Linked DNA regions of Bombyx mori. The protein of the gene in region 1 binds, or shares a complex with, the protein of each later gene. Links are inferred from orthologs where the notes say so. Each region holds a gene or a part of one and is shown in the gene's direction. Other genes may lie near its edges. The genes, in order: poly [ADP-ribose] polymerase, histone PARylation factor 1 and protein timeless homolog.

The links.
Region 2: the proteins of poly [ADP-ribose] polymerase (region 1) and histone PARylation factor 1 are in contact, whole or in part, in a crystal structure (PDB 6M3I), measured with the Homo sapiens proteins. The link is inferred for Bombyx mori from reciprocal best matches to the Homo sapiens genes PARP1 and HPF1. Residues at the interface, in NP_001609.2 of Homo sapiens: Thr825, His826, Asn827, Ala828, Arg865, Met890, Lys903, Asn906, Tyr907, His909, Ser911, Gln912, Gly913, His934, Lys953, Ser983, Leu984, Leu985, Tyr986, Glu988, Thr1011, Ser1012, Leu1013, Trp1014; in NP_060337.2 of Homo sapiens: Asn234, Val236, Asp261, Arg264, Leu265, Phe268, Gln272, Glu273, Thr276, Phe277, Gln279, Phe280, Asn282, Asp283, Glu284, Cys285, Tyr287, Tyr304, Lys307, Val308, Gln311, Leu315, Leu319.
Region 3: the proteins of poly [ADP-ribose] polymerase (region 1) and protein timeless homolog are in contact, whole or in part, in a crystal structure (PDB 4XHU), measured with the Homo sapiens proteins. The link is inferred for Bombyx mori from reciprocal best matches to the Homo sapiens genes PARP1 and TIMELESS. Residues at the interface, in NP_001609.2 of Homo sapiens: Gln846, Lys849, Pro850, Phe851, Leu854, Arg878, Ile879, Ala880, Pro882, Asn928, Lys940, Lys943, Gly944, His946, Tyr992, Asp993, Ile994, Ala995, Gln996; in NP_003911.2 of Homo sapiens: Asp1036, Gln1040, Pro1043, Val1045, Pro1046, Leu1047, Thr1048, Glu1049, Glu1052, Glu1053, Glu1056, Ser1074, Gly1075, Gln1076, Glu1077, Thr1078, Phe1079, Arg1081.

Annotation. Positions count from the first base shown.
Region 1 is NC_085128.1:12,954,149-12,957,801, forward strand, and holds part of poly [ADP-ribose] polymerase, read left to right. Parts: intron 1-293; coding exon 294-516; intron 517-845; coding exon 846-950; intron 951-1,710; coding exon 1,711-1,816; intron 1,817-3,428; coding exon 3,429-3,591; intron 3,592-3,653. UniProt on the Homo sapiens protein: Poly-ADP-ribosyltransferase that mediates poly-ADP-ribosylation of proteins and plays a key role in DNA repair.
Region 2 is NC_085119.1:13,717,584-13,722,027, forward strand, and holds the start of histone PARylation factor 1, read left to right. Parts: upstream 1-1,643; 5' UTR 1,644-1,980; coding exon 1,981-2,559; intron 2,560-3,879; coding exon 3,880-4,028; intron 4,029-4,444. UniProt on the Homo sapiens protein: Cofactor for serine ADP-ribosylation that confers serine specificity on PARP1 and PARP2 and plays a key role in DNA damage response.
Region 3 is NC_085115.1:6,751,055-6,754,707, reverse strand, and holds part of protein timeless homolog, read left to right. Parts: intron 1-593; coding exon 594-767; intron 768-2,965; coding exon 2,966-3,162; intron 3,163-3,653. UniProt on the Homo sapiens protein: Plays an important role in the control of DNA replication, maintenance of replication fork stability, maintenance of genome stability throughout normal DNA replication, DNA repair and in the regulation of the circadian clock.

The DNA of each region.
Region 1 (3,653 bases):
TAAAAGCAGGTTGAATATATAGTTATACTGTCAGCCAAAATAATGAACTAATTTAAATGAATTTGCGATTAATCTCCCGTTTGTATTCATTTCCTTTTACAACGTTTTGCTTACCGTTTTTATTTTCTTCGATACGAGCACTCGTCAAGCCTCGGAAAATACTGTCATTAAATTCAAAATTAGGTCACATTGACCAATTTCCACGCGTTCTTTTTCCTTTATAATATTAAAACATTTTAACAGGCCTCTCTAAGTATGCATCAGTGAAAGAAAAATTTATAACTTTTTTTCAGAGTAAAAAAAGAAATCCGTGTGCCGCCTTTGAAAAACTTGAAATTCTTCATTTACGGAACATTGAAGAAGAATGAAAAGGAGAATATCAAGAATCGCATTATCAAGCTCGGAGGAGACCCCGTCAGTAAACTGTCTGAAGCTACGGTCGCAGTCATCTCTACTAAAGCGGATGTCGAGAAAATGTCTTCTAAAATGCAATCCATACAATATCTAGATATTGTAGTAAGTACGAACATTTAAAGTGCTTTTATTGTGCTAACACAATGTATTGCAATAAGGCTAATTCTATATTGAAATCACATCTAAATTCACCCGTTGTTAACATTATCAGCGTATATAACAGGTCATTCAAAAGTTCTGTTTTCGTTTTTACTTTATATTGCAAATATAATTTAACTTTTCAAAATAAACCCAGCAAGCCGGTTCTAGTGGAATATTGAGTGCATGATTTTAGAATATAAAATTAAAAAATCTCTTGACAGTTTTTTATTTCTTCAAAAATTCATGTAAATAATAAAAGTGACTCTGCATAATAACAATTTTATTAACAGGTTCTAGATGAAAGTTTTCTAAATTCGATTGACCCTGAGACCGGAACTGTAGCCAGATCCCTGGAGTTAATGAAAGAATATAATATCGCCGATTGGGGTGTTGATGTGAGTTGGTATTTTTTAATAGAAATTATATTAAAATATAGCTTATGAATCAGCAATAATTCTGTTCTACAAAATAGCCAGAAAGTTACTAAATACGACTTTTTAAATCGTGAAATAGTGTAAATCGGCCATAATTTGCTGTGTATGTATGTACCTAAATACATATATGGAATACACCCATTTGATGAATGAATGACTCTAGTGTCTTGTATGATGTATTATGTAAAAAGTTGCATTGTAATACCAACAATAACAACAAAGTACATATTCTTTTTTATTTTTTTATTCTGAGCTGCTTACCAAATTTAACAAAAGTCTGAACTCAACTTGTAAGGTTTTTTTAATGTCAAAATCATTAACGCGTTAACCGTCGATCTTATATGAATAAACGGTGATGAACCACATAATGTTCTATGGTTTTCGAAATTCAATGTTAAATTTTTAGATTTTAGTGATGCAACAAAATTTAATGGCAATGTAAAAATTGTAGCTAGCAATATCCGTTATACTTTTTTTGATTTTTTTGTTATTGGTCATGTAATCTTAATAAAACAAAAATGGACCGATAAAAATATATGGCGGGGTTGTTCGACAGTGCATTTTCATAATGCAGTTGCTCTCAGTAGACCTTTCAAAAAAATCTCGTAACCTATTCAACAAATATAAAAATGCACAATAATAATTATGAATTTACAGAACATTTACAATATTTTATTACAGCTGTTCTTCATCCAGTAATATTTTTTTGTTTTTTTTTAAGCCTGCCTCTAAGCTGCCCCAAGATATTATTGATGGAAAATCGATACCCAAGAGTAAAAGCATGTATGTCAAGTCTGAAAAATCAGCAGTCAAACTCAAGATCCGCGGTAAATATCATTACATCCAAATCTTTTGCTACGAGAATTCATCATCATCATAAATAAAATCCTTTCAACCGTCACACTTTTATTCCCAAATATAAGGGCAGTGTAAATACGATTCATACATTTTTTTTAAATAATATAGTAAGTAGTCTAGTAGAAGTCATTATCAGAACTATACCATCAATTGTTCACTATCTTTCATCAAACGTAACATCTTTTCTCTACTTACGAGTTTGTGTTTACTTTGTTTGTATAATAGCCGGCAAACTTCTTGAGCATTTGTTGACGTAGTGGGGGTAAGTTTGCGCATGGTACACTCACGTGCAAAAACACTATTTACTCTGCGTCATAATGCAATTAAATTATTAAAATCAACATATATGTATTTTTTTATATATTTATTAGAACATCAACAAAAAATATTGGTTAATGATTGTAATAATTTAATCTTGGGGTAAAATAGATATTCCTTCTATTAAGTCAAAACTAGAGTTGTTGCCAGGTCTTGGTTCAGTTGAAGCGAAGCTGGAATTTGTATATTTTTTTTCGTTATCATAATCTTGACCATCATCATCATCACTGTTTTCATCACCCGAGTCGCCATCATCGTGATGAGTCGACATAGGGCTCATCGGTGTAGTTTACAACTCGGTCGGTTCGATCTTCTTTTTTGTCTATAATTAATTATTTTTTGAAGATATTCGATTCGTAGTAATCGAATGTTACTTTTTTCAATTACCAGCTTTCGATTATTTTCTGTTTTTTTTTCATCTGAAGCCTAGCTCTTTCATAATTCGTCGTAAACTTCATTCCGAGCCATTAAAATGTATATCTTCTTTAAATTTTTCGAAGCCTTTCTACGGTAAGGAGTTTCGCTGCTTGTTATGTAGTTATTATGATTACATCTTTTTATTACAGATTGAACGAAACTATCCATTCCGGTAACTTTCTTCTTCCCTGATCTTTTCTTCCTCGGAGTCCGAAACACGGCGAGCAAGCCAGAGCCTTTAGCTTCGTTAATAATGCACCTAACAGTACTCACTGATGTTTTTGTTGCTTCCGAAGTCTGTTTTACTTTTTCCATATCATTCTTCCCCTGTTTTATAATGAAGCAATATACGTCGTACACAATTTTTCTACCCTTTCTTTTGAATACTACACCAGTTTGTCATTGCATAGTGTATTTTTTTATAAAAAATCAACAAACACTTAACAAATAGCAATGGCAACAAAGTCAACAAGCAATTATAACAAAAAACGTAACGATTAATAACGATAGACTTTTCACTATACGCAAGCGTACTTTTGGGAGCAAGCGGAACGAGGGCGCGGTGCGGGGCGCAAGGTTCGACTGATCTACCAATAACGCGCTCGATACGATTTCTCCTGCCGTCGCGCCTCACCCTCACCACCAAAGTGATCTAAAATTCGGTTCTGCGCAGTCAAGGTCATTTGCTCAAGATGTTTGCCGGTTACTATAACTTTAGTTGTTTTTTTTTTCTATAAGAAAAGTTGAAAAGAAAATTCGATTTTTTCATTCGATTTCGAAGCTTCAGTTTTGTGCGTAATGTATATAAAATGCGTACAAGTTTCAATACATGTTGTGTATGTGCAGACGGCAACGCTGTGGACCCGGCATCGGAACTGGACGAGGAGTGCCACGTGTACACGGACCGCTACAAAACAACGTATTCGGTCGTGCTCTCGCTCACTGATGTTGTCGCTCAGAAGAACTCCTTCTACAAACTGCAGATCTTGAAACATAATAAAGAGAACAGGTAACGAGATTTTTACTGGCGCTAGGACCTCTTGTGAGTCCGCGCGAGTGGGTACCACCACC
Region 2 (4,444 bases), on another chromosome or scaffold:
TATCATTGATGCATCCCAAGTGACTCCCAGGTACTTGATCTTCCTGGCTCAGAGTATTGTTTGTCAGAAGAGGTGATCCGGGGTCTGAGATTTCTCCTCCTAATACGGGAGGAAATAAGCGTTAAATTTTCCCTCGGAAATAGCACCGCTGTATTTTTCGCTGGGTATGGTTTCTCTGCGCGGTTGATCCTAATATTTGCTGCTCGACTCGTTCCTCAAAAAATGTCGGACAGGCAGCCAACAACATTATTTAACTAGGGTTTCGATTTTTACTTTTGAATACCAGAGCTCTAGAAACAAGTAGCTGTTATTACATAATAAGTACCTATACTAAGATTGTGTAAAATACTAGAATACAAGAAAATTGTAGACTTTTGGTGCGATCGCGAGGAGCTTAGTTGTGTGCATTGTTTTATTTTGTAAATTTATTGTTTTTTTAGGCGCAAAAGTATAATAAGAGTGCATTATCAGCTATTAAGCTGTGAAAATGCACTAATAGGGAAAATGAACCAAAGCCGCTGGACGTATCTTCTCGGCTTTTTCCAAAGAGTGTGCTGAAAAAGTCTTAGTAAATAAATACGATTTTACTGAAACTTTATTTCAACTCATCTCAATCTCATTTCATTTAATTACATCCCAAATGATGAGTCTTATCTTCATCTCATTACGCTTTATTTAATTTTTCTTAAATTTAACAGAGTAGACAAAACATTATGGTGTGATACCTTCGCTTTTTCAGTTGGAGAAATTGAAAAACAACCTGGTACATAGATAATGTACTATGTGTGAGTATTGTCTACAGTGGTCTCGAACCTACCGATTTTTCGGCATTTCTACTGATATGGGCTCTGTTCTACCGAAATACCGAAATATAACGATTTTTCTACGATTTCAGAGTATACATGGAAATTCTCCCGATTTTTCTACCGATTTGACACTTTTACACATTATTGATCCAAAAAATGTTAAAATTGGCAAAACTACTTCGATACTTCTTAAGAGAAGGCTCTTTCCCAATATTGTTCACAGCAATGATTTCCAGGAAATTGATATAGAGTGGCGCATTTTAAGAAATTGTGAACAAATCAAAACATTTCCTAATGATGTAAAACTATTTTGGGATGAAGTAACTTTACTAAAACGTGGCGATGAAACTCAAATGTTTCCTTTGTTGTCTAATTTCATCCTTAATATTTTCTATTCATCCGCTAACGTTGAACGCATATTTTCACATATTAATCTTTTGAAAACAAAACAGCGAAATGGGCTGTCCACTGAATAAATCACTGGTCTATTATATGCAAAACGACTCTTTAATACAGCTAATTGTTATGATTTTGAAATTAATTCGACGATGACTGCAGCTATGGCCAAACAATATTGGTATAAAAATTTATTATTCTTAAATATGATTGTTATAAATTAGTCTGTTTTTTTTTCAATAAATAAACGACTTCGATTGAATGTTGTATATTTTTTGAAAAATACCGATTTTGGATACAAAATAGTACAAATATACCGATTTTAGTTGGCAAGTCTACCGATTTCGCTTTATGACGTTCGAGAACACTGATTGTCTATGGTGAGTGGAGGCTGTATGGGCTTAGATCCCCTTGCCTTTCCTAACAAGGAAAAATTGTACTAACGAAGAAAAATGTCTATGGTGTTATTTATTTTGCTATTTGTTTGCTATGAGCTAACCTGGTATTAAAGTTTATAAAAAAAATCAAAATGCCTCAGAGTTAACTAAAATTCATACGCAACATTAAGTCCACAAAGGTAATATGAAATCATAAACGTGCAAAATAAATGGTTATTTATTTTGCTTTCAACACTTATTATTTGTATATTTGTACCTAGATGATTCACCTTTATCATTAATCAATGAAAAGCACTAACAAAATTGTGATCTGAACTCCAGACAAACATACCTGCTTATTTACCACTTCTTTTCTTTTTGGAAATTATTTATTTGAAGCGATGTCAGAAGCTTGTAATTCAAATGCTGAAGATTCGAGAACTGTATGCAAATACGGCGAAAAGTGTTATCAAAAAAATCCCGAGCACCACAAAAAATACAAACATCCAGGGCAAGCAGGAGCTTTTGAGAAAAAAAATGAGAAGAATCCCGGAAAGCTCAGAGAAAAACGTTTTAATCCATATTCGAGCGATGACAAACCTGCTAAGCAGCATAAAGTAGGAGATAAAAAACCTGACATCGAATTAGAAAATGGATCTGGTACATCAGAGAGCAGTACAGTAGTAAAGATTGACACGGTTAATCCAATCCACGCACTGAAGCTCCCTAAAAACATAACTTATTATGACAGTTCTGATCATTCAGTACTAAAAGAATTGTTTCTGGTAAAAATGCCTTCTGATTTCTACAAATTTTTCGATTGCTTAAACACTGATGATGCAATTGTTAAAATATGTTCATCTGTGAATTTAGAACTGATTGGGCCCTTTGAGTTGTTGTTAGGAAAATTACCTCAATTAGATGACAAAGAATTATATTTAGTGCACTGGAGATTTTTCTATGATCCCCCTGAATTTCAGGTGAGTAACATCTTAACATATCTTAAAACAATATTAACGCTTGAAAGGCAAACGTGACTAAGCGAAAATGCGTGAACTTTACAGGAGACTAATTTAAAGTTGAAATACCTCAAAAAAAATTTATTTTAACGAATCCAGCTGTAGTAGAATCTAGCTAGTAGCTGTAGGATTGAAATGATTTTAATAGACCTAGTTTTTTTTTTTTTTAACATCGAAAATGGTTATTGCCGTTCATTTATCTACAAAGCAGTTATTGTTGCTTAGTCACTTTTGCCTTTCAAGTGTCGATATGATCCAAAAGGATTTAATATATACAAGTTTTTATTTATTTATTGCTTAGATGGGTGGACGAGCTCACAGCCCACCTGGTGTTAAGTGGTTACTGGAGCCCATAGACATCTACAATGTAAATGCGCCACCCACCTTGAGATATAAGTTCTAAGGTCTCAGTATAGTTAGATAGGGGGATAGGGGGATTAGATATAGGGGGTCGAAGTTGCATAACGTCCGTAGGAGATTACCCACCGCTATCCTACACGTGACCCCTGGGTGGTGCTAATAGTGCAACAACCTGGCAACCGAACTGTCCTCCTGAGGATCTCCCGGTTCCAACTACACTGCGTCAATTATAAAACCCTAATCACAAACTATAAATTTCAATTATAACCACGCAGTGTAAACGAATGCCATACGATAAATAAATAAATAGTATAGTTACAACGGCTGCCCCACCCTTCAAACCGAAATGCATTACTGCTTCACGGCAGAAATAGGCGGGGCGGTGGTACCTACCCGTGCGGACTCACAAGAGGTCCTACCACCAGTAAAAAAACTTAAAGAATCAAACTTAAAGAAACAAAACAAAACAAACAAAGAATCAAAGTAATCTCAGAAATCACTTTGTATACATATAAATTATTGATATATGGTGCATTTGATTGTAAATGGTTATTATCACTCATGGAAGTCTGCAATGCTAGAAGTATAACCAACCTGTGGTCTATCATTGAGTGCACAAACCCTATTTGTAGAAAGACCTCTTATAGTGCCCAGGAAACACAGAGGAGGGAAGTTTATTCCAAAGCCAGATAGTACCTAGCAGAAAATCTCCAGAAACTCACATTGGATGAATGCAGTGGTGTGATGGGAAAAAAATAGTTAATAGGATCATTGTGATCAATTCCTAGAGATCTGCATATGAATCAGTAAGACATATCAGATTAGAAATATCGACATATAGATATGTATAATACAGAAATATAGAATATTTCAGATAGATTGTTGATGACTGAAGAAATAATATAATTTCTTTAATTTTAGGCTGTTTTGAAAATAAAAGGTAAAAGTGAATATCACATTGGATACTTTAGAGATGACCCAAACGATGAGCCAGTCTTCTTAGCGAGCAATGATAGTGCGAAAGACTGCCAAATTAAACCATTGGCTGATAATATTTTTGGGGCTGTATAGCAAGTATCAAAATATTTCTTTTTCATTCCATAATTTTTTTTGTTATTTATCACTTCATTTTTTATTTAAGTCTTAATAAAATTTTAGCAAAAGAATAAGAACATTAATTACTCATATATTTTGGGGGCTTAAAGGATTCCAGATTCTGCTAAAGTCTTTATTAACTCTCCACTGTAACTGGTGGTAGGACCTCTTGTGAGTCCGCGCGGGTAGATACCACCACCCTGCCTATTTCTGCCGTGAAGCAGTAATGTGTTTCAGTTTGAAGGCTGGGGCAGCCGTTGTAACTATAGTTGAGACCTTAGAGCTTATATCTCAAGGTGGGTGGCGCATTTACGTTGTAGATGTCTATGGGCTCCAGTAACCACTTAACACCAGGTGGGCTGTGAGCTCGTCCATCCATCTAAGCAATAAA
Region 3 (3,653 bases), on another chromosome or scaffold:
TGCTATCCGTTCAGAGCAACACTATTCCGTTGTCAAAATGTAATGCACTGATTATTTTCGTGTCAGAGCCCGTTGCTCGTCTTTCCGTTCTCTCATTAGGCGGGTACAGGCTTAAACTTTTTTTTCTGAAGCCTTCCAATAAGTCTCAAATAGACTATTGGAAAGTAAATCCTGCGTGAAATTTGTTCCTTACTTTCCTTATATTTTCTCTATCTTATTATCAACGTAAATGGGATCTTGAAAACGACATGGCGCGTTGCTCTTCAAGTTTTATGACTATTGAGCAATTTAAACATATTTGTTTATGTTAATAAATGGAAAATAAAAACAAACAGAAGGATTTTTGTAATAGTAAATATGCCTTTTACTACTAACTTCCAGGAATATCTGAATAACTATAATAATTTTGATAATAACCAAAATTTAAACAAAACCTTCAAAAACTTGATTTTCCTGAAATTGTAACCGTCGACTTTAATCAAATTTCATCTGTTTTTTTCTTTGGCAATTCTAGCAGCGAAACTTTTCGCGTTATTTAATCTGAAATTTTCAAATAGGACTAAAATTAAATCACTAGAAATATTATGTTTCAGACGATGAATCTTCTAGTTCGGGATCCGAATCGGAGAGCGATACCAAACGCACGTCGTTCCCGTCCAAACAGACGGCACCAAAGCCCCGCAAAACAAAAAATCAGACAAAAGCTAAACGCGTGGAATTGAATGCGAGCCAAGTCGCCAAGTTGTTGGTCAGCGCCGTCGACAACGGTAAGTAGCAAAAACTGATGAAAATTATAATAATAGCCTAATAGTCCGATCGTCCAGTGGCTTGGAACGTCGGCTAGGTAACCACAAACAAGCCACTGAGTTTCTGGTCGGATCTTCTCAGTGGGTCGCGATTCTGATCCGATGGTAGATTCTGCTAAGCACTGCTCTTGCTAGGGCCAGTGTTAGCTCACTCTCTGAGGTTTAATCCGTGAGCGCCCTTACCAGACATAGCGTAGCTGGAATAGCCCCTCAGGCAATCAGCCAATAGGTAGGACAAAAAAATCGACTGCAATAATTAATCACTCAACAAAATTAAAATCACTAACACGAGGCCACTTCACACCCCACCACCAATAAGCGCCTAATGGGCCCATTGACTTTCAAATAATTTGATCAAATTGGCTTGTTCAGAGAGTTTGGCATGGATCATCTAATTGGCATGAATGTCTATTGGAAATTTTGATCAAATTTAATGAGCAATCAAATAGCTTGAAAAAATATGAACTTTCGTATTTTTGTTGGTCCAACAGTTTGATCAAACTCTTTGATTAAAAATTTGAGAGTGTGTGTTCCGAGCGCTCAGTTGATGTTGCGGAAGTGTTCCTGTGCGGATGTGCTGCATTGCATAATGTCGAACCGCGATGTATTAGAAGAATTCATACAAATATATAGAAGTGAATCATGTTTATAGAATATAAAAAATAAACACCTCCATAATAGAGATAAGCGGAATGCTACTTATCGTAAACTAATATTTTTTTTTTAAGAAATATACCCAAGTGCAGACCGTAGCCTAGATTTATCATTAATCATTATATTTAATCAGCTTTAGAGATTTTTAAAGAAGCACAACAACTCTTTGGACGCTTTGATATTGAACTGACGCCGCTTCAAATCTGCGTGGAGGTTTGTGGTTGCTTAGAAGATCATGCCAATTTGATCAAACTATTTGAGCGAGCCAATTTGATCAAATTATTTGAATAGACGTTCTTAAGATTCGCATTTGAAGAACAAATTTCACAACAATAATTTTAATGTTTTGTTACGTTTGTTTCTATTGTCACCAGTGACAGATTTAGGTTTGATGCCGCCCAAGTCCTTGTTTATCGCGCCGCCCTTAATTTTACAACAAAATTTTTATCCAATATTTATATTTTATATTTTAAATAACTTTACTGGTATTCGTCTCTGAAATTTTGGCATTTCAAAAATTTTGCCGCACCTCAAATGATGCCGTCCTAGGGCCGGACCTCACGGACCTAAGCGTAAATCTTTCACTGACTGTCACAGGAGCTTTGTCACGTATATTCATCATACAGTCTTGGTAGTATACAGTTTCGTTAGTGTAACTCTTATAGTCCCAGTTAAAGTCGTTCGTGAACGTGCGTTAGTTACAGAATTAATTTGGAAAGCCGATACCTGCCCCAGGACCGAACAAAAACTTTCGATCCTCCTAAAATAATCAAACTTAATACGTTATTGATATAACATTCGTTAGTTTGTTTGTGTTCCCACATGTTTCGTCCGTTCTGATAATTGTAAATCGTGGGTACTCGCATCAAAAGTTTTTTTTATACCCTACCCTTTTTTTTTTTCGGGCCTAGGGCCGAACCTCCTACGAGGTCCCCGCGCCTAGGGGGCGCGCGGGGTATGTGAGACTCAACGATCTGCAGATGTTGAGAGCAGACCGCGAACCCTTCGAATTAACCCATAGACACAGCCCACTGAGTTTCTCGCCGGATCTTCTCAGTGGGTTGTGTTTCCGATCCGGTGGTAGATTCTGCGAAGCACTGCTCTTGCTAGGGCCGGTGTTAGCATCACTCCGGCTTAAGCCCCGTGAGCTCTACTAGTTAAAGTTCCGCTGAAATAGCCTCTCAAAGCTATCAGCTTAGGTAGGAAAAAAAAAAGAATCTACTGCCGGTTCGGAATCTACCCATTGAGTAGATCCGGCAAGAAACTCAGCGAGTTGTGAATAAAGTTTCTAACTTCTTCTAACTAACTTGTAACTATACTGAGACCTTAGAACTCATATCTCAAGGTGGGTGGCGGCATTTACGTTGTAGATGTCTATGGGCTCCGGTAACCACTTAACGCCCGGTGGCTGTGAGCTCGTCCACACCAATCTATGCAATAAAAAAGTGCCACAATACTATTTCATTTCTTTAATGACAATATCGAAAAATTAAATTCCTCTGTAGGATTATCCGGAGCATTAAAATGGCTGGCGGAAAATCTAGAAGAACTAGCCCTGGACCAAGAAGCGGAGGGCTACGATCCGAACTCTGAAGGCACACCGCTGGTGCCCATAACCGATGAGTCAACCGAAGCCATGGACAAAGAACTTTTCAAACAAGTACTGCTGGGGATCGGTGTGGTCCCGCCTAATGATGAACAGGTATTTTGAAATACTTTTCGAATAAATCTAGCGTTTGCATGAGGTGGAGATGCGAATGTTGAGAAGCATGTAAGGAGTGACAAGAGTGGATAAGATAAGGAATGAGTATATCAGAGGAAGTGTGAAAGTAGCCACGGTAAGCAACAAATTAAAGAGCCGACGGTTAGCGTGGTATGGACATGTGAAGCGTAGACAGAAGATGCATGTGACTAGGAGATGTATGGAAATGATAGTGCAAGGTAGAGGGGAAGAGGATGGAGTGTGTGAATGACGACATGAAAGGGAGAGAGAGAGAGAGAGAGAGAGAAGAGTGAGTGTTGAGATGACGGCTGATAGAAGAGAATGTAATAGAAAAATTCGCTGTGCCGACCCCATCTAGTGGGATAAGATGGAGAAAAAGGAAGTTTATTTCGTACACATCATAATTTATGCTATTTCGAATACTCTTCGTTTTCACGGATAATTGTGGTACAAAATCTCTGTTAAATTGT